Linked DNA regions of Styela clava. The protein of the gene in region 4 purifies or fractionates together with the protein of the main gene of each other region. This does not show direct contact. Links are inferred from orthologs where the notes say so. Each region holds a gene or a part of one and is shown on either strand. Other genes may lie near its edges.

Region 1 (7,217 bases), on a different chromosome or scaffold from region 4:
AATTAGTAGACTTGACTTATGTGGGCTTCACAGCTTTTTACAATCTCATGATTAAATCCAATTCCAACCACATTACCCAGGAGTATAATAAATTCTGGTCATCCCAAATATAGCTATTTACATGTCAATGGGTGCTTGTACAGGACCTTGTTCTGAGTATGAAAAAGTATGGTCTGCTTTGTGTTTCTCATTTCACAAAAACAGTCCGATTATTCAGATTCTTAGCTACCGCAAAGTATGTGCAGCTCCAATAATAGGAGTACGACATAGTGGTAAGAAAGAAATTATTGAAGGCTTGTTTGGGAAATTCTATCAAAATTACTTCCCAGGTCTGCTACAAGGTTAGGTTGGTTACAAATGGTGATGGAATTCAAAATTCTAAGAATGGGTTCTCTTTTGGATTAAACTTACTAACAACAGGTTCTCTCATTCAGAAAATAAATAGATTCGCGCAAACCCCCGGATCCCATCACTTGTTACAATCAAATCCTTCCGACATCTTCCATGGTTGAAATCTATTAATATTTGGCAGTGATATTAAAATGGTACAGAAGCACACTACAGTGCATACATGATGAAGCACTGAAGCGAAAGTCTCAAAAAATCACCTCAAATGAAAGATTTGAAAAAAAAATTAAAACACGTTAATGTTCTTATGAAATCATTCACTCTCCTTTTTTGACTTTTTCTTCTTCTTTTTCGGTTTGCCTTCCACCTGTGGAGACTGTACTTCAGTCTTGATCTTTTTTGGTGACGACTCCTGTACTTCGGTCTTGACTTTCTTATCTTTTTTAGATTTCTTTTTAACAACTTCCGTTCCATTGGTAGCACTGGATGTGTTAAGATCATCGTCAGACTCCTGTGTTTCAAGTTTGATCTTTTTCTCTTTTTTAGTTTTCTTTTTAACAGGTTCAGCAGTTGGAGTACAGGGCGCAGTCAGTTTACCATCGGACACGATCAAGGCTTCTTCATGTTTTCTTTTCTTAGGGCCTGGCAGAGTTGAATCCCTGGCGTCATCATACATTTTAACCTCGCTTTTATTTGTCCATTTATCAGCCTGGGCTTTGGCTTTTCCAGTTCCGCTAATTTTAAATGATGTTCCTTCTTCCAATGCCTTCAATCTCATTTCTAATAGAGCACGATTTTCCACTCCCAACTGAGTTGAGGACTCTTCTCCAAGAGCGTCATAACGAACAGCAAGGGCTGTTTTTGCAGCAAGCATTCTTGAGATTTTACCCTTGTGTTTAGGATTGGATTGTCCAACAAGTGAAGCATGATAAATCAATCCATATTTAGGCGTTTCTTTTCTGGTTTTTAAAGCACGAAAAAGTGCTTTTTCAGCTCCAAGAATTTGCACTGTTGAAGCTGGATGTTTAGCAAGGTTAAGAAGAGAACCAGCGTGTGCAATCAACCTTGCACCTACAAGTTCACCAACAAGTATTGTGACATTTGGTGCAATTGCTGTCATACGATTTTTCAAATAGTCATAGAGCTGTGCTCTATAATCAGTTATTTCGATGATTTGCTCACATAAGTAAGTAATCCTGCTGATATCTTCTTCAGATATTTCAGTACCCATTGATACTTCTGCCAATTCTTTCACTTGCTCTTCTATTTCTTCTGGAAGAATATCTGACAAATCACAATTTATTGCTTCTGTTCGGATTCCCATTTTCTTTACGGTCTTTGCAAAAGCAAGATTGTCTGTAACAACTTTACCAAGTTCTGGAAAATGCCAACCATACCATTCCCTACATCTCATTATATAATTATTCAATTCTTTATCCAGGTCATCAAGTAACGATATAGCTTGGACGATCATTGTGTCAACTTTGTCAGGGCTAAATTTCAATTTGTATCGAGAAAGACTATGAGCGAGTCCAAGTGCCATAGCTGTCACATCGCTCTCAGGCAGCCCAGTTATAAGACTGGTCATGTGAGCACGTATTCCTCTCATTAACTCATGTATAGCTGGACTATACAAGCACATTAAATCCATCTTGTCTTGGATTGCATTTCCAAGTTTTGCATCAGCAACCGCAAGTTTTTCATGTGCTTCATTTGCAACTATTTTCTTGAGCAATTTTTTTAAAGGCTTGCATAACTTTCCTTCCACGGCTGCGGTTGTTGCTGAAAGGGCTTCAGTCATATCTTCAAATTTTTTGAAATGTTTCAATTTGACCATTTTGGATGCACTTTCTGCTGTGCTGAAAAGCGATTGCAAGTCTCCGGCCTCTCTGACTTTTGATTCATCAAGAACCTTGAATACGGCATAGCCAGCTGGTGATTCGAATAGCACCAACATTTTGCTACTGTGTTATCTTATACCATTACTGGAAAATGTAACAAATTGATTTGATTCATGTATAATAATACAAACATAGATCTGACAATGTAATCATGGGCAGAATAGCCTCAGGCAGATATTAAATAAATAATAATATTATATGTTATGCTGCAACTCGAGTTGGATATAATTTCAAAGGATTGTGTTTAAATTTTTCTTCTTTTTAGCTTTTATACTTATGAAACGGTGAGAGACAAATCAAATAACATACAACAGAGTTACTCATAAATTGAACTTGGCTACCTTAAAATTAAAAGCATGTGACAGTGTGATGTGAAGCTTAGAAAATGGAACTCTAACAGTCCAAAATAGTTTAGATCTGTAGATAGTCTACTTACTAATCTTAAGACTATGTCCCATTATTTCAAAATTCCATGGTATGGTCTATGAAGATTCAGTATAATAAATTAAATTAATTAAAGAAATTCATTATTCTTCATTAATTAAAGAAAATCTATTTCCTTTTCCTCTGATAGCCTAATAGGAATTTTGGAGTTTCCTCAAGTTCTTGGTATTAGCTGGTTAATGCAATCCATCAAATTCAGAATTGACACAGTACTGCAGACTGCAGTAAGATCCAATATTTTGAATCATTGAATTTGGCTGGGCCAAAACCACAGTTTCGGTTTAAGTATGAAGTAGCCTACTGAAGCAGATGTACAGTACTGCCATATTTAAAATATTATAAATTGAGAATTAAATATGAAAAAAGAGTTCTGAGATATCAAAGAATTTTTCCTATTATATACAACATCCTCACTTCTATATCACAAGATTAAAATTGCAACGTTTAAACATTCTCACTAGACATGTGTTTTCCACCACCGATCGACAAAACAAAAATTCTTGAGGCCAGAAGGCTGTGAAGTCTGAAAGTGTAAGGTCAAGCACAAAAAACCCTCTGAACTATTTCTAAGACCCATCACAAAATATATATAACCATCGCCACGATGTACTATAATGGAGGTCATACGGCAACTCCATGTGTATAACGTCAATAACAAATTAAGCCGATCTCACATTGCGTTAACCAGCGCCGAACGTCGCTGTTCGAGAACTGGAATATACTTTAGGGCCGTCATCGACTCGCTCGACACACACGTGCTAGTTACTTGTTACGCATCAGTAAATGTTAAATTTACGTTTCGTTTGACCGCTTGACCAAAGTGAATCTACGCCACGGTGATCGCTTTGGTTTCGCCATGGCTCGTGGATACTGGATAGTTTTCTATTTTATGCCATTCGATTTTTATTGGACACAAAGAACGCAAAAAGTTCAGGAATCCTGGACATTTTGCACAAAATTAATGTTCTATCTAGAAAATGTTCGAAATCACCCCTTAGGCATATAGGAGACAGACGTGTATCCAGCAAGACAGGGCCCCATCGGCATATCAAATCACGCCCTTGATTGGATAAGTAAACAATTTCAGAAAAGGTGAAGCATCTCATTCATGGACCTTTCCCCGAGCATTGACTTCCTTGTTTACTTCGTGACATTGGCCAATCAGCAAGATTCAAAAAGTGACGTAACAATGCTACCTTTTCGCATCCGCTCAGACACTTTTTTCACTCACACAGATTTTCAGGCGTGGTCGTAAACATTACCTCGTTTTCGCGTTTTTGAACTCTATTCGTTAGTTTTCAGTTGTGTTTCGGGAATTTGAATATAAATTAGATATTTCAATGATCACTCTGTCTTCCTAGGAGTTTTAATTTAATTGCAGTAATAAAAAATTATTATAGAAATAGCTGTGATAGACTAGGCTGAAATTGTTTACCGGTATTTTTAAAAAACAGATTGTTGTATGCGATGAATCATAATGATAAAATATAAAATAAGCCCCGAAAATTTTGCAATGGTAAGGTATAGGAAGAATTTTTTGAGGGTCAAAGGTCGGGGAAAGGTCCATTGGACTTGAAAATGTCAGATTTTTATCTGTGGCGGTATTGGAAGGACGATGTGTATCAGGACATTCCCCATCATTTCAATATCATATTTATCTCTTAGTAATGTCGTACAATCACGTTTTCTGTGTTTACGAGAAAATCACACAGTTGTTGGTCGACAACACTTTTCATTAAAATGCTAGCAAACTGTCGTGTTCTTCAGATATTGTTGAACTTGCGACAATGATGCTGGTGTTGCTGTATGCTCTGAGAGATAGGAGTAGAATTCAGGAATTCCAACAGCATCATACTGTGTCTTCACAATAGAGTCAGATTGCATTTCTGAAATTTCCATTTGGAGATACATAGCCTACGGCCGATCAACAACACTACTTCTCAAACGCATTTCTGAAATTTCCATTTGGAGATACTATAGCCTACGGCCGATCAACAACACTACTTCTCAAACGCCACATATGATAAAACTTTGTTGGAACAGTGAAATGCAATAGAGAGGATTTCAATACGAATATCAGTATGTTGTAGATGTATATTACAATAAATTGAGCAATAAACAAACTGCAAATTTGTCCTATTCAAACATTGTACCATTTCGAATTTAACATTATCAATTTAATGAAGGATGAATAAATGAAGGATGTTGTAGATTATATAATGTAATGTTATGTATTATACACTTGAATTGTTGTAAATGCATGCAAAGAACTGATCTGTTATAAAACGATATGTTGGTGCCATTTTTTAAACTTTGGTGTGGATAATAAAAAAAATTATTTGGACACACGTAGATTTTATTCAATTTACCCAGATACCTCAAGACTCTAGCATGCTTCTAAACACGATAACGCATGGACGCAAGGAGTCATTTGATTACATGACTTCTTTACTTTGTTGACAGCGGAAATATTGGTGTAAATTAATAATTACCTCTGTTTTTATGATCCAATAAATTGTGATACCTTTATCGACATACGGCAACAATCTTAAACAACATTAAAATATGCAATTCATTTTCTTTATTTATTACATAGCGTACATAGCAATACAGGCACAATTCACAATGTTTTCTGGTTGAACCTTTTTGAACTATAACACAACTAAGAATATAATCTTGAATATTAATAATAACTGAATTAGGGGGATTTACATTTTTTAATGATCATGACTCCAGTCTCTGTCTGAACATGTAGAAGCATGGAAGTTGACGGAAATTCCGAGTTGATGAAGAACATTAAGGTATGCAGCAATTTGTGACAAAGTTGGATTTGGGCTTGGAAAAAATCCTCAAATCATTTGGTGTTCTGTAAAACGAAACAGGCAAACTTAACAAAATAAGCATCATTCATGGTAAAATAATTCTATTATTCATACCTTTGTCAGATATTCCACCCGGTGGACAAACAAAACTCGCGATGTAATTTTTATAGTCGGTCATATGTACGTCATGTCCACCGCCAAGGAAATTATCTATAAAACACAAACGAGAATATCGGTCAGAGACCGAAGACTTATCGATCGAAAGTTAGGAGATCCCCCAAAACAGCGCTCTTACTCCATAGTGACACCTTGTGTCCCATCACTAATTAATTAATAACTCGCTATTATACGACATAATTCGCCCAAAATCAATAGGCTACTGGTACGAAATATGATGAATGCACATGCAAAATCTGCAGCAGATCCAATCTCACTTTCGTGAGATATCGCGTGCATCTAACAGACAGACAGATAAACAGACAAATACCTATCAACATACTTACCGATTAAAATCGATAAGTAAGAAAGTAAAAGTTGAGGAATGCAAATATGTCGTAAATATTTTGTAATTTTTTGAAGATAATTCATCATATATTCACCCATATCCGAAACTCTTTCGTTATGAAGTCCATTCATTTCTCTCATGTGCTCATCATGATTATCTTCTACGATGATTAAATTTGTGATATATATATTAGGTCAGGGGTTCTCAAACTTTTGGTGTTGCGGAGCCCTTGAAAGGTTGAATATTATTCGCGGAGCCCCAAAATAAATTTTAAAATTGTTACTTTCAGATTATTATTCCCGAGCAAGTTAAAAGTACTTTATTTATTCTAAATGCTGAATCTTTTCTTTTTTGACATTTTTGGAAGACTTAATTAAAAGGCCGTTAGTAACGTGCGCTATTTCATTTTGTTACAATCGCCGATTTTTTCCGTCAGCATGGCGTGTTTTAAACATCTTTACGCCGCTGTTTATTCTCCCTAAATCAAAAATTTCCCTCGGCATATACATGTATTGTTACACAATGACGACGTTAATTCCTTTTTTGTTCTCGTGGGGAATTATGAGTTCAATGTGAAAAACATGTTACCATATTATAGTCATCGGCGACGAAATGCTAAAAATAATAATCAATAAAAAGGTAAATCCACAACTCAAATTTCTTGATTGAAAAGCGGCATTCTAAAATATTTAAACTGAAACTTAAAATGGAAGATCACACTTTGGTTTCAGCAGACTCACCTCAGATTGAAAACGCTTCTATAGACATTGTAAATCACAAAATTTGGTGTTATGTTAGGTTTTCATCGTAGTAGCTGCGAAATCGAAACACAGCAATTGTGCGCGCGATTTACCTTTTTTTTCATTCTGAAACTACCGACGCAGCCGCACGCAATCAATGGTGCGCGCGATCCGCGATGTACCTTTTTTCATTCTGAAACTACCGACGGAGCTGAATGCAATAAAATAATTTTCAATTGTTCGTATTTTCCCCAGACATTGTGATTTTTTAAACAGCGATATCTTGCTTAAAAATAATCTCAAGTGCGAAAGAACAAATCAAGTTTGACAAATACCAAGATCGCAAAAATACGACACCAATTTATTTATAGTTGGCAGTTTATCACATATTTTATGTTATTTTAGAATAGTATTCTTTCATTTTAGTAATCCTAATAGTAATCTCGAATCAAACGTG
Region 2 (7,866 bases), on a different chromosome or scaffold from region 4:
TTCATTGACTGAAAGCCAAAACAGCAAAAAAATAATACAAATAAATCATTATTACAATTCTAGAAACTTGTTTAAATAGTAGCTCAAGTAGGTCTTCCAATATATAATCCTAAATTCTCACCCGAGCTTAGAACTTTTTCGTGAAATATTCCAGCTTTCTATAACTAAATTTGGGCCCTGAAAAAATAAAAAATAAAAATTTATCAATAGCATCCAAAGAGACATTGTGGATTGTTAAACAATTATATCACCATCACATTACCTGAACAGACCAGTATTCCAACCATTCTGAATATATTTTATTGTCACTGCTATCTCCATGATTGGATTTTTCACTGTCATCTACTAACGATAAAAATGAAATAATTGCATCTAATTTTGTAATTGTATGTGTGTTTGTAGTTGAAATAATGGGCAAAACCTTAATCACACCCTGGATGCAGGTGGAGGCATGAGATTTAGGACAGAGGCATGTGCTCTGCAATACAGACACAGTTAAGTCTAACACTTTCCACACTAAGCCATCACACTGATCTAATGGTAATAAAACTTGCCCATATCGCACATTAGTTATTTCAGGCAAGTCTAGTCATATTCAAGCATCAGGTCTCCAACATAAATAATTGTCAGCTTATTTATATTCCTCACCAGCACAAGATGAATGAACATGCATACATTTGTTATATTCAGTTGTTCAGGCTTTTAATACCAAGTTCCTCCCAGTTTTTGAAAAAATTACATATATTGGTGAAATGTGAACTGACGTACCTTCAAAATGCTCTTCTTCGTCTTTGAGTCTATTTTTTAACCAATTATCAAGATATTCTGGTGATGTCTTGTCAATTTTATGTGACTGTTTATAAAAAAAAACATAAAAATAGATGAAAAATTATTTCATTCGTATTACCGTTTTACACGGGGCTGGGGGCGGAGTCGAAGCTTGGAGGCATGAAGCCGTGACATTCTGGTGGAGCTGGAGCCAGAGCTGCCAGATATGTTAGTGGCTTCAGCTCTTAATCAACTAATTATAATTATTTTTTTACATTTATAATTTTGTAATAAGCTATATAAATAATAAAATCTATTCTTTTCAGCCTCTAAATTCAATCTATAATATTAATTTCAAGTTGAATTTGTATATCTAAAACTTTGAAGACATAGATTTCACAACTTGGGCTGATGTTTCATTGTGGTGGTAACACTAAAAACATTGATGGTATGAAGACCAAAACGAAGCTGGAGCCTAGCATTACGGCTGAAAAATAGAGCTCCGTGCCAGAGCTGAAGCCACAAGTTAAATATACTGGCGCCACAGATCTGGATCTGACCGAGTCATTACTATTCCTAACCAGATTCCCGCCGCTGGTTCCCTATTTGTTCCCCAAGGCAAAGTAATGAAAAGATAAATGATACATTATTAAAGCAAAGTTCTTGATAACTCGCTAAAAACTACTAATAAACTAACAATTCTTTACAGAATATGGACAAGTAGAAATTTTTAAAAACTTTCTCCATGAGTACCTTTGGTTCCAGACGAGTTTCATAAAATGAGACAGGCAGTCCCAAATTTTTCATTAATTCCGCATCATCCTTGAATTCACCTGAATGTACCCAATAGCAAACAATTTTTTTAGTTTTTTAAAAAACAAAGTAGGCTACATGATGACATACAAATAAGAGCATATTTGTTCTAGACATAATAAGCAAAATTGAAGTTTAAATTAAGTTATAAAATGTCGAACATACATTTTTATATTCGACAGTAAGTACATACACAATTACACAGTCAGGCTTGATTCGAAACAACTTGAAAAAATAAAGTTTGAATAACGACTGGGTATTCAAATAGGGATATTTTCCAAGTATTAGATTCAAGAATAATATGTTGTAATAGTTGAAATACAAAAGTACTGGTAATTGAAACTTATAAAGCATTTGAAAATCAATACTGTAATTTTTTTATAGATAATAGGCAAATGAGGTTAAAAAAGTACTGATAGTAATACTTTTTATACTGACATAAAAACTTGAACAAATTTTTTTACCTTCAAAATTTGTCCAAGGTTGTGAATCTTCAGTTTGAGAATCATTTTTCACCGGTACAAGATCTTTGACTTCAATCTCACAATCAGATGAAGACAGATTCTCTTCAAAGGATGTATCACTTTCCGAATTGCGCTACAAAGAAAGATGCATAATCAGAAATACATTTTTATGGTCTTAACTTGAGGGTTCTGACCAAGAATCCATTGAAATGAGTTTCTTAGTAAGCTTTCCTGTTCAACAAAATTTATTACACATGAGGCAGTGGCAATGGGGTTTTATAACCACACTGCAATGCCAAAGTTAAGTCCAACCACTATGAGAACAGGAAGAATTTATTATATCATTCATAAGGTTTTCCAACTCAGTTGTTAATGATAATTATGACATGAATTTATGAAAGAGGTTAGTGAAATCTGCATCTATTATCACTATCATATAAAATATTCTATAATATAGAAAGGGATAAAATATTCTTCATACTTTGGAGTCAACAAACTGTAGATATTTTCCATTCTTTCTGGCTAAATTAAGCTTTCGTTCATAGACAAGAGCATTGATGTCTCTGAAATTAGAAAGCATTCAAAGAATTATTGCAATCATCAGTGCTTTGTGGATTTTACATGTTTAACATATCATATCACATCTAAGCATCAAAGAAACTAGAAGATAGGGGCATAGGGCTATTGAATTTCAATCGAGCATTGAAAACCTCAACATTCCAATTTGTCTGCAGAACAAGAAAAGTGATCCAAAGTAGGCATAAGTTTGTATACTATGATTTATACTGTTACTGTGGAGTAAATACTACATCAAATATTACCTCAAATAACATCGGGATAAAATGCACATAGATTTTTCCGATAAATCCAACATTTCAGCTTCTGCCAACTTTGTCCAATGGTAACACATTTTGCATATTTCCGACAGTGCCACGGTCGAAGTTGTAAATTATTTAAAGCTATGTCTTCCTCTCCCTTTTTCTTGTTACAAAGAAGTGCTTGACTATCTTCCTTGTTGGAATTTCTGGGTATTATCTGAATACTTTCACACATATGACCCCATTTCAAGCTTACATATGATTTTTGTCATTTTAGCAAAAATAGTCTCAACTCTTTTCAGCTGATAAAAAAAAACATTTATTATACACAACACATTTACTCTTACACAAAAGTACCTAAAACAAATTAAAAAGGAGCATTTTCAACAATAAAAATTTACTCTCACTGTCATGTAATGGGCATTGGGAGTTTATAAATTATGGCAAACTATATGTAATGTTTTCCTTGAGATCAAATACAGGCATTTTTAAATTACTCAACAGATTAATCCTATCTTAAATGTATTATGTAAATCAATTCAATAATTGTAGGATTATTTCAGCAGCAAATTGTTACATGAGAGAATATAAATCTCTATAGAGCACAAAAATATGACAAAATAATAAAAATAAGTTTGCAGTCCTTGTTGACAGAGCCATCATATAAAGTTTAATCTTTGCAGTATTCCAGGTCACCTAAAAAACTCAGCTAGTTACGATTCTAAATTGGACATAATATATAGAGATACTTATCAGGTAATTGTTGCTATGTACGAACTTTGAAAGTAGAGTAAGTCAGTTACATGCATGAATCATCCCGCAACAGAGAGGAATCCAAAAATCCTCCATGCACGAGCTGTCTCATTATTGAATAGATACTAAAGGAGAAATTGAAGATAATTTCATGTTTTGTCATCCTCTCATTTTAATCTTGTAGAAATTCGAATTTGTTAGTTTCATATTTCATCAAATCGATTCTCTATATAAATTTTATTTTCAGTTTTGAATCGGGGTTCGGTAACATTCGTAAATTAAATGATTGATTATATTAAATTATTAATACTTAAAAACATTCTACATAAATTAACATGAGATAATAAACATTCTGACTTGATAACAAATGAATGATAAATTTTATATAAACAACAGCCTCCTACAAGACTCAATTGCTCAATCCATAATCTGAATCAATGAACAGTCATATAGAGACTATGATATTGCATTTCATCTTTTTCAGTCAAATTTCTTTTTAGTTGCAGTATATCTTTCCATATATTTGCCATAACCAGGAGCATCTTGAAATGTTTTTTGATCAAACAAATTACCATCAAAAGCGAGAAGAGAAATTTTGGATTCTGTTAATAGTTTTTCAGGAACTGCATTCAGGGGCACACAATTTTCTTCGAATCTCAAAACTTTTAATCTCGGACATTGATGCAAACATTCTGGTATTGAAGAGATCTGATTTTGATTAAGATTGAGTTCGACAGCTTGAAGATCTTTCATTTCATCGGGTATTCTTTTGATTGAATTATGTGATAAATTAAGAGAATCAAGGTGTTTTAGTTGAGTCAAACCAACGGGAATGTCCCCAAGTTTATTCCCTTGTAAATTTATAACTTTCAAGCTTGTTATTTTTCCTATATCAGGAGGAAGTGATACAAGTCGATTGTGTGAAATGGAAAGACTTTCCAACTTTCGTAACTTGCATATGCCATCACATAAGATGCTCAGTGAATTGGAATTCAAGATGATGCTTTTCAGCACTGCAAAATTCCCAATTGCTTCTGGTAGTCCACGGAGTTTATTACTTGATAAATCCAAAGTTCTCAATTTACTTGATAACCCCAGGAGTTGAGCAGGAAATTCATCCAATCCCATGCTACTGAGTTGACATACTCCAGTCCTTTCAGCATGTTCGATGTGTTTTTTTACTGAATTTTGATTGCCCATGACCAAGATTACATATGAATAAATTACTGAGATAGGCAAAACAGTAAAAGCTAAAATATTAATGAGTTAGTAAGCTTAGAAATTTTATTTTGACCTCCAATTTCAACCTTTATTATGAATCTCTTCCCAATACTGTAATTCGGTCACTGAAAACAGCTTTATTTAAACCAGGCCTTAATCTTTTTCGATTGGGCTCACTCTTCTGCTCTTTCTATAAATTGCAAACTTTCATTCATCCCTGTAATAAAACTCATTTCAGTATCCATGGCACCAAGTTACCATCGGGTAAAGACAATAAACTCGAAATAATTCGCAAAACAATAACAAGTCTGTTTGAAACAGCTAATGCAGCAATGTCTAAACGCAGAAATGTGTAATGACTGTACTGTTCCCGACTACTAGGCCTACCGGTATCAGCTAAAATAATTCCTCCTACCTGTCCGCGTTCCCAATCAACACGCAGACCTACCTGTATCACTGAATATCAATGCATTTCCTTTCATAGTTTTCATGACGCCCGATACTCCTGTCTAATTATCGCGTTTCAATTGTAGAATCTAAGTACATGGAGTAGAAATGATATGAAAAGCATTTTTCGAAGTCCAGCTATTAATTAAAATCAGTAAATTTAACTACAATACACTACATCAGGTATAATGGGAAAATACACATGTTAGAGTTAGAGCGAGATTCCGCATGGATGATAACATACTCGACGGCTCGATTTTCTTAAAATAAAAATAAAAAAATAAAATTCCACTATTCAAAATCTAATGCATTCAAATTAACATTTAATTGTTTCACATTTTCAATGTAGAATACTCAAAAAAATTAATAAAAAAGGCATTCGAAACCTTTTATTCGCACCGATGAGAAAAATCATGAATATAGTTTTTCATGTCTAGACTGATTCAAAAAGACGAGAGACATAACCCCAAAAATCAATTACCACCACTGTTCAATGGCATTGATATGTTAATGTAATGTAATTGGATCTTTGACTAATGCAAGTTGGAGCAGCACATATATACGTAACGGCATTGATTGTAATCTCAGATATTTGTTGCTATAAGCTTTTTCAGGTCGTTCGATATATGCCTAAATTTTGAAAACATAACCAAAAACTGTCAAATAGAACCCAAATCGAAACGGGCCAATGTTTACACCCATGCTTAGATGATCGAAGAAACATCCATTGTAGTATTGTCAAGGCATATTTTAACTTTTTAAACTTGGTAATATCATCTTCCCCTTCACAAAACAGCATAACAATTTTTTTGAAAGTGTCACCGGGAATTCATAAATGAGAAAAACTTGCCATGTTATTTGCTGCAGATATATTTATTTTGAAATAGGTTCAGGATCAAATTAAAGTAATACTGGCTTCGGGTAGCACAAATGGCAATTGCTTCGGAAATCTTTTATCGCAAATTTTTATCATGAATTCGTTACCGGTATGCCAATGGTTCAACGATTTGAATTCACCTTTTATCGGCATATTTTTGATTACAAGACATAATGGTTCTTACTGAGAATGATTCTGATAACATGTGCCTTCAAATTGCAATATATTAGGTCCCGAAAATATAATTACATATGAATTTATTTCAAATAATCATTTGTCCAAATCAGCGACTAAGGAAGGTATGGGTTTATTTTTGTCAACCGGGTAACACATGCATAGCCATGGTACACAATTACGGTACCTACGCAGTGGAGAGATATCTGGGTATTGTTCTATTTTAGTTTTTGTGAAACTAGCCAATTGTTGAATCGTCATATTTGAAATGTTCATTAGCTTTTGTCAATGCTTTGTGCTGACTGCGGACGGCCATAGTCAATGCCGATGAAAATATTACCGAAAGCGGCGATACAGAGCTAGAATACTACATGTTTACGTTTGGGTTTACTGACCCGTGTTAGATCTGCAAATCTCAATAATCCTCGACCAGACGAGACCGCCTGAGCCTAAATTTACGCGCAGGGTGAAACGAGCAGGGTGCGCGTTCGTTATCGCGTTGGCCGTGCGAACGTTCAGCTCCGAGCTAAGTAGGGTAATAGATGTGAAATGACAACACGATCGATAACGGGATGATTATGGGTAGGCCTATGACAATTTAGAGAATGTTGTGTACATGCAGAGGTTTGGGTACATCGTACATCCATTACAGAAATAGAAGTTTTCTAAGATTTGACTTCTTCCTAACTCGGGAATTAGGCTATAACAATATTTTAGGGGATGTGTTCTGGTATTTAAAGTTGAATGATTGTGCATCCGTGATGACAATAGATACAATGCTCCTAAAATACAGCGTTATAAAGATATTTTCAGTATGAAGGGACAATAACTAATAACTTTTTGAAGACCCCATCATAGATAGATAGCGTTTAAAATGATAAATACTGAAATAACAGAAGAATTTTAAACATTTGTACATATTACTGTATTAAGGTTTCATTGCTGTTTATGAGTAACCAATACCAAAAGCATTAATATTTAGATAATTTGATAAAAAAAATTGGTGTGTAGATAGCTTATATCAGTATAAAGACATGCATGATACGTGATAGTTGGAACCTCTGAGCAAATATTTGTGCATACCAACAAAGAAGTTGATTGAATAGTCTGCATTCTTTATATTTCTACAATTCGCAGTGGGAAAGATTGAGAAGGAAACAAAAATGGCAACCCGAATGTACGTTTGTGAATCAGTTGAGCATCCTTCAAGTTTGTTAATGGGATTAAATGAACAAAGGCTGCAGGTGATTTATTTAATATATGTTTTGTATATAATTTTTTTATTGCATAGTTTCAGAGTTTAGTCATTGCTCTTCTCGTTGCTCCAACATTAATTAATTTCCTACTGGTTTTCTTTAATTCTGTTTATCTATCATAAATCAGGACAAGGCGGGACAGTAACCTAACCCGACCTAAGCACTTGATTGGTGTTGATTTTCTGTGATAATTGCTGACTTCAATACACCGGGTATAATTTATTTCACATTGAGTCTTTTAATATTTTAATATTTCAGGGTCAATTATGCGATAT
Region 3 (7,275 bases), on a different chromosome or scaffold from region 4:
TACAGTCTCTACGTTCTTGCCAACGTACTCATGTTCGCGCGAATGTTCCACGGTCGCAAAAGCTTTTCCACATGATGCCGCTCTGCGTTTTTCATAGTTACGTGCAAGTTCTACCAAATGCAGAAAATGAGCTTCAAGCACGAGGTTATTCCAATTTCGCAGACGTTTGAAACGACCTGTCCTGCACAGATTTATTGAGTAGAATTCACGTCCAATAGATAGGTGCCGATATCAGAAGACGTTCTGTAACCACTGACCTCCAGACTCTTGGTGGATTAATAAGTAATTACAATTCACTTCGGATGGATAGGTGCCGATATCGTTAGACGTTACCGGTACCGATATGGAACCACTGACTTTCAGACTCTTGGTAGGAGTGGAAGTGGTGACTCCTCTGCGGCCCATGGGCCAGGGCCATGGCCCATAGAATTGGGTCTCGGCCCATCAGGCTATGGGCCGCGACTCACTTGGCTAACACAGACAGTCCCCGAACTCATGATAGAACTAGGCTATAATGTAAAAAATCGGATTTTTTTTGTCCTAACCCTAACCTGGTACACATACTACAGGAGTATATTTTTTTGGTTCGAATATTGACAATTTTGTGAAAATTGAAAATTTTGGTAAGATAATTGAATTTTTCCTGATGGGGCCGGCCCATGGACCGTAGTGGAGTCACCACTCTGCCACTCCTGTAGCTTAGTAGACCAGTAAACGGCAAAATTCGATTTGCCCATTTATTTTAGAAATTCGGCGTCGTAACATTTATTAATATGCCAGTCGTGATATTATCAATCACAGCAAAATACATCAAAATTATTATTTTTTTTGACAATTTTCACATTCTGTCATTTCAGCATTTTATGGCAGTATGGTGGGTTGAAAATGACAACACACTTACTGAAATTTGCTCGAAATTTGGGGAAGTAACTTCCAAGAAGTTGCTAAAAAATTGAGGTTTAAATAAACATTTTGACATCTGAACATGCAGACATGTCAAATAAAGATATCTACCAGCCAAGGCAATTTCACCATGTAATGTAACCTGGCATATGACTTAAAAACATACCTACTTGCTACTTCTGTACTTGCAAGATAGATTTCATCAACATTGGGTAAATTAGGTAAAAAATAACTCCTGCACTATGTGAGTGATCAGGCTTCATGCGGAGCTGTTTTATGCAACAAATAAATATGATATAATCTACTAAACGACATCTTACTGTCTTAGCTTGTGACAGTAGCCATAACATTGACCATTTTGTTGTCGATTTTTGGTACGGCAGCTTTAGCTCGTGCCATGGACATCGTTTGGAGGGTAGGTATATGGCTTATTCGACATATGGGACCTAGCATCTTCATAACTACCCTCGTTTGGACAGGGAGAGGGGGGAATTAAATTGTAACATGTTTCAATAGTATAATTTTAAAATTGAATACAATTAAAACTCAATCATTTCTAGTGCATTTTCTTTGCCATGGGTGACATTTAACAAAGATAAGCAACTGCAGAACTGGGGCTTACTAGCCAGGTTCAAAAAAGATTAGTTTAAACCTCTGGTTTGAATGCCTATTTGACTAGAGAAAAACTAACATACTTTTTAGTGCAAATCTTGTTTTCAATTAATCTAAAAAATTTGGGGCAATGGGGGCAGACTATCTGACGATGGTTATTCACTGCTTTCAACTCTCAGCATGGTCAAATCAAACTTCTGACTTTTCCATGAACCTCATTTCATTTGGACCTCTTGCAATTTTAATTACTGAAAAAAATCTGCTTCCATTTTAAAGCATTTTCAATGTCTTTTTTTATAGATTTTAGCTTACCCAGTTGTCTTATAACAACAGAATAATGGGAATTCTCGGTCTCTCAAAGTTGATATTCGACAAAGCCCCATCTGCTGTCAGAGAAAATAGCATTAAAAATTACTTCGGTCGAAAAGTTGCGATTGACGCCTCAATGGCCATTTATCAATTTCTGATTGCAATTAGACAAGATGGAAATCAATTAACAAATGATGAAGGAGAAGTAACTAGCCATCTTGCAGGATTGTTTTATCGTACAATTCGAATGTTAGACAATGGTATAAAGCCTGTTTACGTCTTCGATGGTAAACCTCCTCAGATGAAGTCTGGTGAGCTCGAAAAGCGAAAGGAAAGACGAGAGGAAGCTGAGAAGAAACTTGCGGAAGCAACAGAGGCAGGAGAGCAAGAAGAAGTTGACAAATTTCAAAGACGACTCGTGAAAGTCACTAAACAGCATATGGATGATTGTAAAAAGTTACTTACTTTTATGGGAGTCCCTGTCGTCTCTGCACCAACTGAAGCAGAAGCACAATGTGCTACTTTGGTAAAAGCTGGAAAAGTTTATGCAACGGCCACAGAAGATATGGATGCTCTTACATTTGCATCCAATAGACTTCTACGACATATGACATTCAGCGAAGCAAGAAAAATGCCAATACAGGAATTCACTCTAGAAAAAGTGCTTCAAGAAATGGAAATTACACAGGAACAATTCATTGATTTGTGTATTTTACTTGGTTGCGACTATTGCGGGTCCATTAGAGGTATTGGACCTAAACGTGCCTATGACCTCATCAAACAACATAAAACAATTGAAGATATTTTGGGGAATATTGACAAGAAAAAGTACACAGTACCAGAAGATTGGGCATTTGCTCAAGCAAGATCATTGTTTATTGAACCTGATGTTTCTCCATGTGATGACATTGAACTTAAATGGAAAGAACCAGATGAAGAAAAACTCATCGAGTTTATGTGCAAAGAAAAAGGTTTCAGTGAAGATAGAATTCGAAATGGAATCAAGAAGTTAATGAATAGTAAGAAGCAAAGTACACAAGGCCGTCTGGATGACTTTTTCAAAGTCAAAGTATCAGCATCACCAGCTGTGAAAAGAAAATCTGATCCCAAGGGCAAGAATACACCTGCAAAGAAAGTGAAAAAGGAATTCAAACGAGGAAAATGATCTTCTAGAAAATAATCAATATCAAAAACATTTTTGTGTATGCATAAGATACTCAAGAATAATCAATATCAATACTTTTATTGAGTCTGATTAGATAACAGAGCGAGTGAACATGTTCATTTATGGGAACAATGTCTTGTGTTACCTTGTAACCTTGTTGGTTAGTAGACTTGTTCCTATTTTGTAATAACGGCTATTTTGCTATTTTTTTCCCACCTTATGGACTCCAAAAATATTTCTGTGGAAGCCAGGATACCCAGGTGAATAAATAATCTACACCTCTTATCTCTTCGGCACCTAATTTGTGTATAACTTTGCGGTATATGCCACATTTAATTTGAATATATGCTCATTTTAGGGCTGCATTCATAAGGAAATATGAGATTTAAAATCAGTGGTATATTATTGAATAAAGAACTTGCTTATAACTTCATGTAATTGAAGTTTTAATCTCATTTCAACTCATTTGTTACACATTATTGAATAGACTGTTCTTTTTGTACTATTTTTCATACCTTGTTCCTCGTAAAGTTAGATTTTTTTCAAATCACAGCCTTTATGTAAATAAGCGGCCTTGTGTCTTTTGTTCTCTCTACCCCAGGATGAACATTTATCTTCTTTCAAAACAATCATTGAATGATATAATTTGTTATTAGCAATTTAGCATATCCATTTTTGTTTGTGTAGTATTTGTGATACATTGTCAAGAATTCCATTTTAAATAAATATGCATATCCTGGCTCGAGATCAATGAAAAGTTTAAACTTCGAAGTTTAAACCCTTATTATTTTTGTATTGAATGCTGTAAAAAATAATATCAACAAATCTTCTTCAGTGGTCTTTTTAAAATAAGGTTTTCAAATATATTGCCAGATGCTGACTTAATATACATATTATACATTCTCTCCGCTAGATGGTGCTCAAGATTAATAAAAATTAGATTTTTGTTCAGAATGTTTATCAGTTGGACTGGAATTTCGAAAAGATCATTCATTATTGATATTTATATAGCATTCAATTCTACTGTACTTGCATAACATTTGCTTATCTCGTTGTCAACCTATTATGTGCTTTGCCAAACTTTTTGATTGCCTCACTGCCATTACATTGACTCTTTTTATAAGGTTTTTGTACACATTGTTTTAGACATGCTTTCATTGCCCACTTCTGAAAAAGTTATCTCAATCATATTTTGTTAGCTTCAGCTTTGTTCACAATCTTAGCATATTGTTTTTTTTTTTCAGCTTATTAATAAAATTCAGAATAAAATTTTCCAATGAAAAATATACCTACTGAAAAGAGCTCAGTTGTTGCCAAGATGGCCGCGCAATCATGCGACGTTGAACGATTGATTTATAAATATTTTATAGATCGTAAAATGACCAAATTGGCAAAAAAGTTTCGGAAAATCACGGACACTAAATTACCAGAGTCGGATCAACCAACTTTGAAAGAGGCATATCAATTATGGAAGGAAACTCAAGTAGACCAAAAAACACCGAATGGAACAAGTACAACAAATGGAAAAACTACAAAAAGACCAAGGAAAGCCGATCCACCATCTAGCTCTGAAAGTGATATGTCATCATCCGATGAAGAGAAGAAAGTTCCAGCTAAAAAGGCTAAAATTATCCCCAAGAAAGAGGATTCTTCTGAATCCAGTGAGGATACATCCTCTGATGATTCTGAATCAGACAGTGATAAAAAGAAAGAAGTAAAAGCGACTGTAAATAATAAGAAAAAAGAATCTAGCTCTGAAGAGGATAGCTCAGAGGAAGATTCAAGTAGCGATGAAAAAAATAAGAAATCCGCATCTGGGAATCTAGTAAAAACTACAGTTTCAGAGTTGAATGGAAAGAAAGATCCAAAGAAGAGTAAATTAGAGAAAACAAGGGAACAAGAATCATCTTCCAGCTCATCTGAAGATTCATCAGATGAGGAGAACACTTCAAAAAGCGTTGCAGTAGTGAAAAAGCAACCTGTGAAAAAGAAAGAATCATCAGATTCCAGTGAAGACTCTGATGATGAATCTTCTGATTCTGAGGATGAACCGAAAAAGAAACTTTTAGTAAAGAAAAAAACTTCTCCAGCAAAAGTGAACCAGAAAAAGGAAGAATCTTCATCGGAAGAAGACAGCGACAGTGAAGAAGAGGAGAAGGTTTCTAAAAACTCGATGAGTGTGTCAAAGACAATAAAAGCTAAAGATTCATCAAGTTCTGACTCATCATCTTCTGAATCAGAAAAAGACGTTGAAACAAAAAATGCTAAAAATGTTTCAGCTGTAGCTAAAAAGGAAGATTCTTCAAGTTCTGAAGACACATCTAGTGATGATGAAAAAGAAGAAACCAAGCCTGTTATAAAGAAAACTGCACCTGCTATTAACTCGAAAAAAGAATCCTCATCTAGCAGCTCAGAAGAGTCATCAGACGAGGAAAAACCAAAGGAAACAAAATTGAAAGCAGTTGTCAAACCAGTTGCTAATAAAAAAGAATCGTCAAGTTCAGATGAATCCTCTAGTGATGAGGAAGAAGAAAAAAAAATAAGTGAGAAAACCAATTTGAAAACTTCTAAAAAAGAATCTTCAAGTGAGGATGAGGATTCATCCAGTGAAGATGAGGATGTGAAAAAGGCAGATGCTAAAGTAACAAAACCCACAAATACTAAGAAAGAATCCTCATCAGATAGTTCAGAAGATTCTTCTGAAGATGATGACAAGAAGAAACCAAAGCAAACAAATACTTCAGTAACAAAAACAAAAGATTCCGGAACCTCTGATTCAAGCAGTGATTCAGATTCAGAAGATGAGAAGCCTAAGGCAGCACCTGTTCAGGCTCAGATCAAAAAGAAGGAAGATTCTTCATCATCAGAAGAGGATACTGATAGTGATGATTCCAGTGAAGAGGAGGATGCAAAATCTGCAAAGAAACCGGAGGTAAAAAATACGCCACAAGTTATTAAGAAAGAAGAATCTTCCTCCTCAGATGAAGATGATACATCTGAAGATGAAAAAAAGGTTACGATAAATAAAACTGAAACAAAAGAATCATCTTCATCTGATGATGATTCTTCTAGTGATGAAGATGATAAAAAGAAAGCAAATTTGGTTGCAAAACCTAGCGCTAATACAAGCATTTTAAAAAGAACGCCTGTTGCAAAATCTACTCCTATAGCAGCTGGAACGAAGAGGAAGAAGTCAGCTTCGTCAAGCAGTAGCAGTAGTGAAGATTCTTCTTCTGATGATTCTTCTAGTGACGATCAATCTTCTAAAGTAGTATCTGTTACTCCAGCGAAAAAGAAAAAACTGGAAATAAAGTCAAAGAAAACCACAAACAATAAAAAAAAAGGGACCATAAAATCGAAATAAAGTTTAGGTGATCATGTATGCATTGAACAATATCAGATATGAGTCAGGATTGTTACAAAAAAATTATGAACGGTTCATGTATGTATCCTATACATCACTTAAAGTGGAGGCTATATATGGTGGTTCATTAAGTTTTTTTTGAACAGTTAAAAAAAATAATGCTCAATTTGATGAATTGATCTAATCTGTAATAATGTCTAATTTTCACAATTGTCAATTACTCATAACATATTGATTATATGAATTATAATCCCATGATATGAAATTCTTACATTTTTGTCACAGTGTCCATGAGTCTGCCTGGGGTTAATTTTTGAACTTAGAAACCTTTTTTACTGAAGGGTAGTATTTCTTGGTTAAACCTTTGTTTTATTATCTTGATTTTCTTGGGACTTGAGAGCAAATGTGCTTTAGTTTGGGACCAAATATATCTTGGTGTTTGGTGGATTTTATCCTTAGTATGGTTTTTATTTTTACTAACTGTGTGTTTCATCCGGGACCCATTGCCATATTTGATATACATGAATTTATTATTTCTTCGAATTGGAGCTGATGTTTAAAATTTTTCATACGGTCTGTATCTGCCCCATTTCCACCTTTTCATTTTTTAAATCATATTGTGTGTCTGGTGCTGTAATATTTAACAGCTTTGTTTATTTGAAATGTGAGCTGACAGTTTGATAAAGTCTGAGTTTGAAGTTTTCTTATTTGCTCAACTCAAATAGTTTAATGATTCGTCACCTGATTTATCATTTATGACATAATTTATTTACCTGGCTTTGTCTGAGTCCACAATCTCTCGACCAGTACTATAGATTAATGTTAGAGTTGAATGAGCTGCTTTTTCCAATGGAGGTTTTAGCAATCATGGTACAATTTCATTTGTTAAGAATGGTTAGGAATGACACAGTCAGCGTTTTGG
Region 4 (7,896 bases):
CTCGTAACAATAGTAAGCTTAGTCTTGGAACATTAGATTTTTCTGGGAGCCATATGCCGTCACCAAAAGAGCCATATATGGCTCGCGAGCCATGGGTTCCCGACCCCTGTTATAGAGTATAGACGCTCTGTATAAAACATGTGTTAAAAAAAGTTTCCTCTTAACTATCATGGTCCTTCATCCAAACGTATCAACATGTTTACACACTCCAGTTAATTGGATTTACATATTTATCCTGGGAAAGAGAAAAGCCGATAAGATGGTTTAACCATATGCCAAACCAGGGCCTTTTGTCCGGTTACCAGTTTATGTTGAGTATGGAATTAGTTAGCCAGTTACTTGTTTTCGGAAGTATGGTAGTTCGTAAGTTATTTTATAGATATTTTTGTGGGTCTTGTTTTAATGAGAAAAACCGAGAATTTACATTTCATTGAATTACATTGGATACTGCTTGTAATAACATCCAGAACACACCATGGTCGTGTATTTTGAGTGACTAACCAGTGAGCTATTTTCATACCTGACTTGGGCTGAAAAGATATAGTTTTTCTCATTATTAAATCAACCTATTGGCTTTCCCATGATAAAATCACCTCTTTAAAATCGACCAAAGCAACTTCGCAATTTTTTTTTTAACTGCGAAACACCATAGTACTCCTAACTTCCTTACAGGGAACACTGTTCCCCAAGATAAATCATATTTAATCGAATATATTCATAAAAAAAACATTCAATTTCACGAACCTCAACTTCCACTTTCTTTTCTCCATAGACGGTGTTCCCGGGTACAAGATTTTTCGTCAACAAAGCGTCATCTTTTCCTCTAGCTACGAATATTCCTGGATGCTTATGGGGTTCAACAACCGTTGACCTTCCACCTCTGAACCCTCCTCCACCTCGACCTGCCATGAATAAAGTCAACTTCAATGTAATATCACAGAAAATGCCATCACATGGCACAAACAGAAAAATTAAATCAAGCAAATGCTGCAATAATGACTTCAGTAAAATTTGCTAGAGAACAGCAGTACAAGCACTTTCACGTTAGAAGTTCCAGTGGCTCTTGGCATTTCAGAGGTCGGTTGCAACTTTGCTCAAAAATTAGTCTGCTTTACTTCTGATTGAGTGGGCGTAGTTCTTGGCAGGAGTGTACCCAGGTGGGTTTAGGGGTCGGAACCCCACACTTTTGTGAAAAAAGGATTTTTCTGTGTTATACATGAAAATTTTTCCTATCCTCAAAACGTTTTTTTAGACATTTAAGTCTCTTGAAAACCCACATTACTGCTTCCAGCCGGACCCGCCAGCTGTCTAACTCAAGTGCAGTTTCAAGTATTTTGTGGCGTCTACAGCTGCCGCAAAACCATGGCGGGATTTCCAAACCACGGCCACTAAGACCAAACCCACGGCGACTGACTTTTTAGCTGCCACAAACCAATAGCGAGCTGCCGTGGTTACGGCAGCAAATCGAATACCACCAATTTTAATGCCGTAACCACGGCAGGTCGGCTGTAATAGCAGGGCTGCCCCTAATCTGCTGATGGTGATAAATATTTGGTGAGTTGGAATGTTTTTCTTATGGATACAGTTTGGATGGATTTGGGGTTAGGGTTAGGGTTTAAGTAGATATAATTTCGCATGATAAACTAAAATATGGTACATGAATTTGTAAATATACCCGTAATAGCGCCATAAAACCATGGCAGGAGACGGCGTGGTACGTTCGTGGCAGGAGCTGCCATGAAGTGGTAAGAACTGCGCCTCGTCTAACTTGGCAATTAGAAATTTCAGAACTCCCTCTTAAAAATTCTTCTGTTGTCGTTCGTAACTCTGATCAAAGAGGAGTATCCTTCATATTCAAGTGACTATAAGTGTCTTTGCTTTGGACAAAAATGTGATGTGAAAATGAATGCTTTGAGTGCTTAATAACGCCAAACAAATCTTTTATGCGTCACACAGACTTTAATGTTAATTACATTAAAATTTCACATCACATTTTTGTTTGGAGTTATTTGAGCAGTTGCGGCGTTCACTTAACTACACCCCAAAATCCTGTAAAAATAACATTGATAAAGAGTAAGTCCAACTTACCACGGGGTCCTCCTCTACCCCCGCCTCGGCCACCAAATCCGCCACGCCCACCTCCGCCAAATCCACCACGCCCACCTCCACCTCTGCCACCGAATCCGCCTCTGCCGCCCCCTCTTCCTCCTCCTCTAAAACCCCCTCTGCCGCCACCTCTTGGTGAAAAACCTGAAAAAAATGAATAAAAGAAAGTTTTAAACAATAAATATGAGATGAACCCGAGAAACTTAGAAGCACAAAATAAAATTGAAAGATTCAACGTACTTTTGATAAGGATAGGATTTACATATTTACCTAGAGAGCGAAAAGCCAATAAGACGACTTAAACATATGAGCATAAATAACAAGTGGAAACCTATCAAATATTCTTGTGACACATAATGTTCAGATGTTACTCTATTATGCTTACTTAAACAAACAACACATCACTGCTGTACCGTAAAAGCGCCCAACTTCGGACAGTTCCTAACTTCGGACAAAATTTTTGAACGGCCATATCTTGGATAAAACGCGCCGTATATTGCTAATTTTAATTATTATAGGTTGCGCTGTTATATTACCGTACCACATAGGTATAAGTTTATATCGACAGAATAATCAGCATAACTGGCGAAAAATGATTGATAAAAACAAATAAATAAAACTGATCGCAGAATCAGGAACGCTAACAAAACCTTAAGTAAGGTTTACCTTCAATTTATGAAAATATCACACAAGTGTTGAGCCAGCATAATTAATATACAAAATACTATATTTATATTAAACACATCAAATAACTCACCAGGTCTCCCCATTTAGAAGATAGCACAAAATCCTTGATAAAGTTCAGTAAGTCACAACGCGAATGCAAACCAAGAGCTAACGAAACTTTAACAGCGCAAATGCAGCCAAGAGACCAGCGTGAACAACACACGTGCAATGGTAAGAGTCACTCAGTCGTATCATTTTGCTATATACGTCATGTTTCGTGATGTAATTTTGAGGGTACGTTATGAATTAAATATTTAAAAATATAGATAAAATTATAATAAATATATTTATATGTTTGTTTTATCTTTATATAATTTTTTCAATAGCTGGAGATAAATGATTTTTGTATAGTTGAACACGGAACCACAACCGATAGTTTCCTGAGTAATTCACTTGCATACAGTTACAAGCCGAATCCCAGGTTTTTGAGTTCACGCCTCGAGTATTCGAAAAATACCTGTTAAATCTTACAAATCTTATCTATTTATGATTTTAAAAGATTTTAATATTGTGCTAATTTACATATTTTCCATCAGATAACTCTTAGTACATTATAATATTATAAAAATGTCGGAAAATCGGCGGGTCTGCGTTCACCCTGTGGTTTTATTCACCATTATTGACAGTTTCGAAAGGAGGAAAGAAGATGCAAAAAGAGTAGTAGGAACACTTTTAGGTAAGAATTGTAAAATTAGTGCTTTTTAATTGTAATTTAGTTATGTGACAATATTAATTCATTAGTAATATTCATTTGTGCTTTTTTTCTGCAAGTTTGATTTTGTTCTTGTGCAATCATGAGTATTTCAAAAGGAAATCAACCTATAAACAAGTCACTGGACAAGCAGAGATCTAGAGAGCTCCTTTTAACTTTTCAATTTTAAATATTTTTATTTTAATTGCTTCAATTAATTTTATGAATACTTCAAATGGCTTCTTCGTCAATTCGATTATAATATTAAAGTATTCATATTTCTTTTTTCACTCGTATCGTGAATATTTTAACTTCATAATCAGCATACAAAACGAAGAAATAATTGATAAAAACAAAACAAAAACGAACAGAATAAAGGTTGGAAAAAGGAAAACATTAAAACTTACAGAATCAAAATATAAAAGTGATGGTAGAGGAAATGGCTTTACTGACAGTAGCATTTTATGTTGCTCTCATTTCCTATCACATTGCTGATTTCTCTATGTCAGGGATGGCGAACCACTTACCCGCGGGTGACAAAGTGACCCACCGCGTTTTATTCTTGACCCGCCGAGGAACGAATAAAATAAAAAAAATGCTAACATATCAGTGATAAAAGTTGATGAAAATGGCTTTCAATTATTCCAACAATAACTAAACTATTATAATGTACCGTCAGTTGGCAGTCAGGGCTGCGATCGCTCATATTCAAATTGTTAATTTTCGGGTCGGTATGGTAATTTTCCAAACTCCTAATCTTGTACGGTATCTTGTTTTTGGTAATTCGTACTCTAATTTCATAAAATAGGGTGTCATAAAAAGTCCCTGATAGAAGAAGTGCTGCATAAGTAAAGCCCAAAACTTCACCAACACAAACAGAAGCTTAGGTTCAGGAGTTTCTTATAGATACAAACATTGCTTAAATATCTGTGACCCACTCTCTTCTGTTCCGCGATAAAAATATAATTTTTGACCTATTCATTGAAAAAGGTTCGCTACCCTTGCCCTATGTCTAGGTTAAATCTTGTTGGAGAAAAATATGTCATGACATGAGCTCATCAAATCTTATCCTAACTTCTTCCAGGTACTGTTGATGCAAACGCAGTTACAGTCACGAATGCTTTCTGTGTTCCTCACACAGAATCAGACGATGAAGTCGCATTTGACATGGAGTACGCCAAGAATATGTACGACCTTCATAGGAAGGTCAATACAAATGAAGTGATCGTTGGATGGTAAGAACAGTTTTCCACATTTGGTTTGTTCCCAAGCACACTTCTCAGATTTCAAGGATGTCCTCAGGAGAATATTTATATAACATAAAAATTAAATTTTTTTTTCAACGGGGCATCTGGTAAGACGACAGACGCATTAAAAATGACGATTTCGCAGTCTTTAAAAATAACTGCGAAGGTGTCACTCACATATCGCAAAAAAAGTGCGCTAATAGTGAACACTGCGGTGCATGATACCAATAATAATAACATTTTTTATCAATAAACACTTCTATTTATTCTTCACCAGGTACGCGACTGGGCATGACATTACCGAACACTCTGTACTTATCCACGAGTATTATACGAAAGAAAGTAAAAATAAAATGCCAGTTCATCTCACTGTTGATACAACACTGACTAACGGAGAACTTGGATTCAAAGCATACATAAGGTGGGGAGTAATGAATAATAAAAAAAATTTCATGAGAATTTTTTCAAGGCAAGGTAATAATGCACTCCCACTCAGAGGTAAAAAAGATTTGGTTCTGAGTGAAGTTGCCTTGAGCTACTGTAAGTCTGAAACTATGTAGATTTATTCATTATAGGTTAGTAAAAGCTGATTGACGAGACTTTAAGCTGTTTAAATCAGGGTTGTCCAAACTCAGGCCCGCGGGCCACATGTGGCCGGCCGCTGCATTATCTGTGGCCCGCGCCGGAATCAGAGGGTAATCAAAAAATCGCATTTGGTGTTGTTTTGCCATAAAGTTAATCAGAAAAATCTTTTAACATATTGTTACATCACTGATGTGACTAGTGTTATGGCACTTTTTTCCAGTACACCTGTAGTATGCGTCACAATAATAGCGGACAACGGAACGTGGTATGTGTACCAGGTTAGGGTTAGGCCATAATTTTATTCCAATTTTCTATATTTTAGTTATATTACTAGTTCTGGGACTAGCTATTTGTACGTGAAATTATGGTCTGACTCCAACCTGTTACACAAACTACGTTCCTGTGTCCGCCATCTTGATTCACATACTACAGGAGTACCATTTTCCGTCGAAATCTTACACTAAATGTAGATATAAAAAGACTTATGCAGGTTTTTTTTGGTGGTTTTTGCATATTTTAGCTTGACAAAAGACAAATACTGACAAGTACTTGTTTTGTATTGCACTGTTTACCTATTCTTGGCACTATTTGTGGCCCGCGAATAATGCTAAAATAATTTTGTGGCCCTCGGAGTTGACAACCTTGGACCACCCTGGTTTAAATCTAAAAGTATGATCAAGGTTGAACACAATTTTATATCAATTAGGTGCCAATTTAAGTGATCCTGGAATACAATAATATATATCTTTTCTTTTTACACAAGCTCACCCATTGGAGTCCCAGGCAAAACCCAAGGAATGATGTTCACACCCGTTGATGTGAAATTACTTCAATACGATGCAGAGAGGGTTGGAGTCGACAGAATTCAAACTGTAAGTATTTATGACTCCTTGCACCACCCAGATCTACGCATCTGCAATAATCAACTTACTGAAACTGCAAGACCCTAGTACTCACCAGGCGAGATTAATGTCTTCATAGGATCTTTATTTGTACAATTTAGTTCAAAGCAAGATACAAGCTCTCACGACCCCTTATGTAATAATATCGGTATTTCTGAAGTATGCGTACCAATCTGGCGGACCCCAGAACGTAGTATATGTACCAGGTTAGGGTTGGGCCATAATTTTATTACAATTTTCCCTATTTTAGTTCTATTACGATTTCAAGTGACTCCCGTAGTATTTGTACCTAAAATTATGGCCTAACCCTAACCTGGTACACACACTACGTTCTGTTGTCCCTCATCTTGGTATGCATACTTCATGAGCTCAATATATCATCATTTTGTAGAAAAATATCAGATTATGTTGGACACAGGACTTGGAAACAACTCAACATTGATTAAAGTGCATTATTGTCTTTCCCCTCACTCTGTGATATAATGATATGATCTCCACAATAAAATTTTATTTGATAATTTGTCAAAAAAAACTAGTAAATGTTCATGAAATTAATTTTCATTCCTGTGCAGCAGCTTATGAATCCCCCATTATGCTCTCGCTATGATATAAATGCATAGTTAATCACAAAATATATTATTTTTTAGAACAGAGTTTCCCAAACTTTTTGAGCTGCGGACTCCTATTTGTGAATATTAGTTTTGACGTACCCCCTTCCTATGTCGTAACAATTTCTGTGCTTAACTAACGAGGAAGGATAATGTTTCTAGAACAGTAGGATACAACAAAACAACGTTAATGTGTTTCGCTGCACAATTTTTGGAGCAATTTGTGGCAAGCAAACTCGTAGGTCCGACTTTACGCAAGTCTCACCTGTATTTTGCCATCATATTGGTGATAGCTGAAAATGCTGCCTCACACATGTAGGTCGTTTTAAAATAAAATTAATTGCATTTTCTGACAGCAATAGATATTCATCCGTATCGCTCAACTAAAGCAAAACAATGGCCTTTTTGATTGAAATCAATCATCAAAGATCTACCAGACTCTTCTTATATTGTTGCGAACCCCCTGTGCAGTCATCACGGACCCCCAGCAGGCCCCAGTTTGGGAAACCCTGTTCTAGAATAACAAATTAGGATGGTATTCCAGGACACTTCTTCCAACAAGGCCGTTAAAATACATAAAAGAAAAACTTTCGCATAAAAAAAAAATTTTCCAGGGTTGCACAAAGAAAGCAGGTGTAGTAACCGTACCATCAGAGTTCCAGCATGTAACAGAAGCAATCGAAAACTTAACTTCAATGCTGGATGTCTGTTTGAATTATGTCAAAAGTGTTCAGGTATGCTGGTGAATTCAGGGTTGTCTGAAGTAAATCACATATTTAAATATCAATATTTAATAAAATTGTGATAGTGTGCAGCGGGGGCTCCCGAAGTATGCGAACCAAAATGGCGGACATCGGAATGTAATATGTGTACTAGGTTAGGGTTAGGCCATAATTTTAGGTATAAATACTACGGGAGGCTCTTGGCTAGTCTTCGAACTGATAATAGGACTAAAATAAGAAAAATTGGAAAAAAATAATCGCCTAACCCTAACCTGTTACCCATGTTACGTTCCGATGTCCGCCATCTTG

What was found.
Region 1: the proteins of rRNA 2'-O-methyltransferase fibrillarin-like (region 4) and nucleolar protein 58-like purify together in Homo sapiens (affinity purification with mass spectrometry; 7 studies listed by BioGRID and IntAct, counting the BioPlex papers as one, with this or other methods). This does not show direct contact. The link is inferred for Styela clava from reciprocal best matches to the Homo sapiens genes FBL and NOP58.
Region 2: the proteins of rRNA 2'-O-methyltransferase fibrillarin-like (region 4) and uncharacterized protein LOC120345426 purify together in Homo sapiens (affinity purification with mass spectrometry; 3 studies listed by BioGRID and IntAct, counting the BioPlex papers as one, with this or other methods). This does not show direct contact. The link is inferred for Styela clava from reciprocal best matches to the Homo sapiens genes FBL and TGS1.
Region 3: the proteins of rRNA 2'-O-methyltransferase fibrillarin-like (region 4) and uncharacterized protein LOC120330391 fractionate together in Homo sapiens (co-fractionation; 3 studies listed by BioGRID, with this or other methods). This does not show direct contact. The link is inferred for Styela clava from reciprocal best matches to the Homo sapiens genes FBL and NOLC1.

The regions. Positions count from the first base shown.
Region 1 is NC_135257.1:6,828,862-6,836,078, reverse strand, and holds nucleolar protein 58-like, read right to left. Parts: upstream 2,359-7,217; 5' UTR 2,306-2,358; coding exon 662-2,305; 3' UTR 501-661; downstream 1-500. Other genes in the region: uncharacterized protein LOC120346509, read right to left, coding at 5,543-5,559, 5,630-5,725, 6,115-6,180. UniProt on the Homo sapiens protein: Required for the biogenesis of box C/D snoRNAs such as U3, U8 and U14 snoRNAs. Part of the small subunit (SSU) processome, first precursor of the small eukaryotic ribosomal subunit.
Region 2 is NC_135257.1:9,444,622-9,452,487, reverse strand, and holds the start of uncharacterized protein LOC120345426, read right to left. Parts: upstream 3,014-7,866; 5' UTR 2,956-3,013; coding exon 2,867-2,955; intron 2,609-2,866; coding exon 2,527-2,608; intron 2,179-2,526; coding exon 2,046-2,178; intron 1,602-2,045; coding exon 1,522-1,601; intron 854-1,521; coding exon 769-853; intron 346-768; coding exon 263-345; intron 178-262; coding exon 122-177; intron 1-121. Other genes in the region: leucine-rich repeat-containing protein 57-like, read right to left, coding at 4,097-4,816; uncharacterized protein LOC120345327, read left to right, coding at 7,499-7,579, 7,850-7,866. UniProt on the Homo sapiens protein: Catalyzes the 2 serial methylation steps for the conversion of the 7-monomethylguanosine (m(7)G) caps of snRNAs and snoRNAs to a 2,2,7-trimethylguanosine (m(2,2,7)G) cap structure.
Region 3 is NC_135261.1:11,303,325-11,310,599, forward strand, and holds the start of uncharacterized protein LOC120330391, read left to right. Parts: upstream 1-4,265; coding exon 4,266-6,353; 3' UTR 6,354-7,275. Other genes in the region: flap endonuclease 1-like, read left to right, coding at 1,853-2,989. UniProt on the Homo sapiens protein: Nucleolar protein that acts as a regulator of RNA polymerase I by connecting RNA polymerase I with enzymes responsible for ribosomal processing and modification.
Region 4 is NC_135253.1:21,920,964-21,928,859, reverse strand, and holds the start of rRNA 2'-O-methyltransferase fibrillarin-like, read right to left. Parts: upstream 3,009-7,896; 5' UTR 2,877-3,008; coding exon 2,864-2,876; intron 2,251-2,863; coding exon 2,089-2,250; intron 903-2,088; coding exon 745-902; intron 1-744. Other genes in the region: eukaryotic translation initiation factor 3 subunit F-like, read left to right, coding at 3,400-3,508, 4,608-4,758, 5,048-5,191, 6,119-6,227, 7,480-7,599.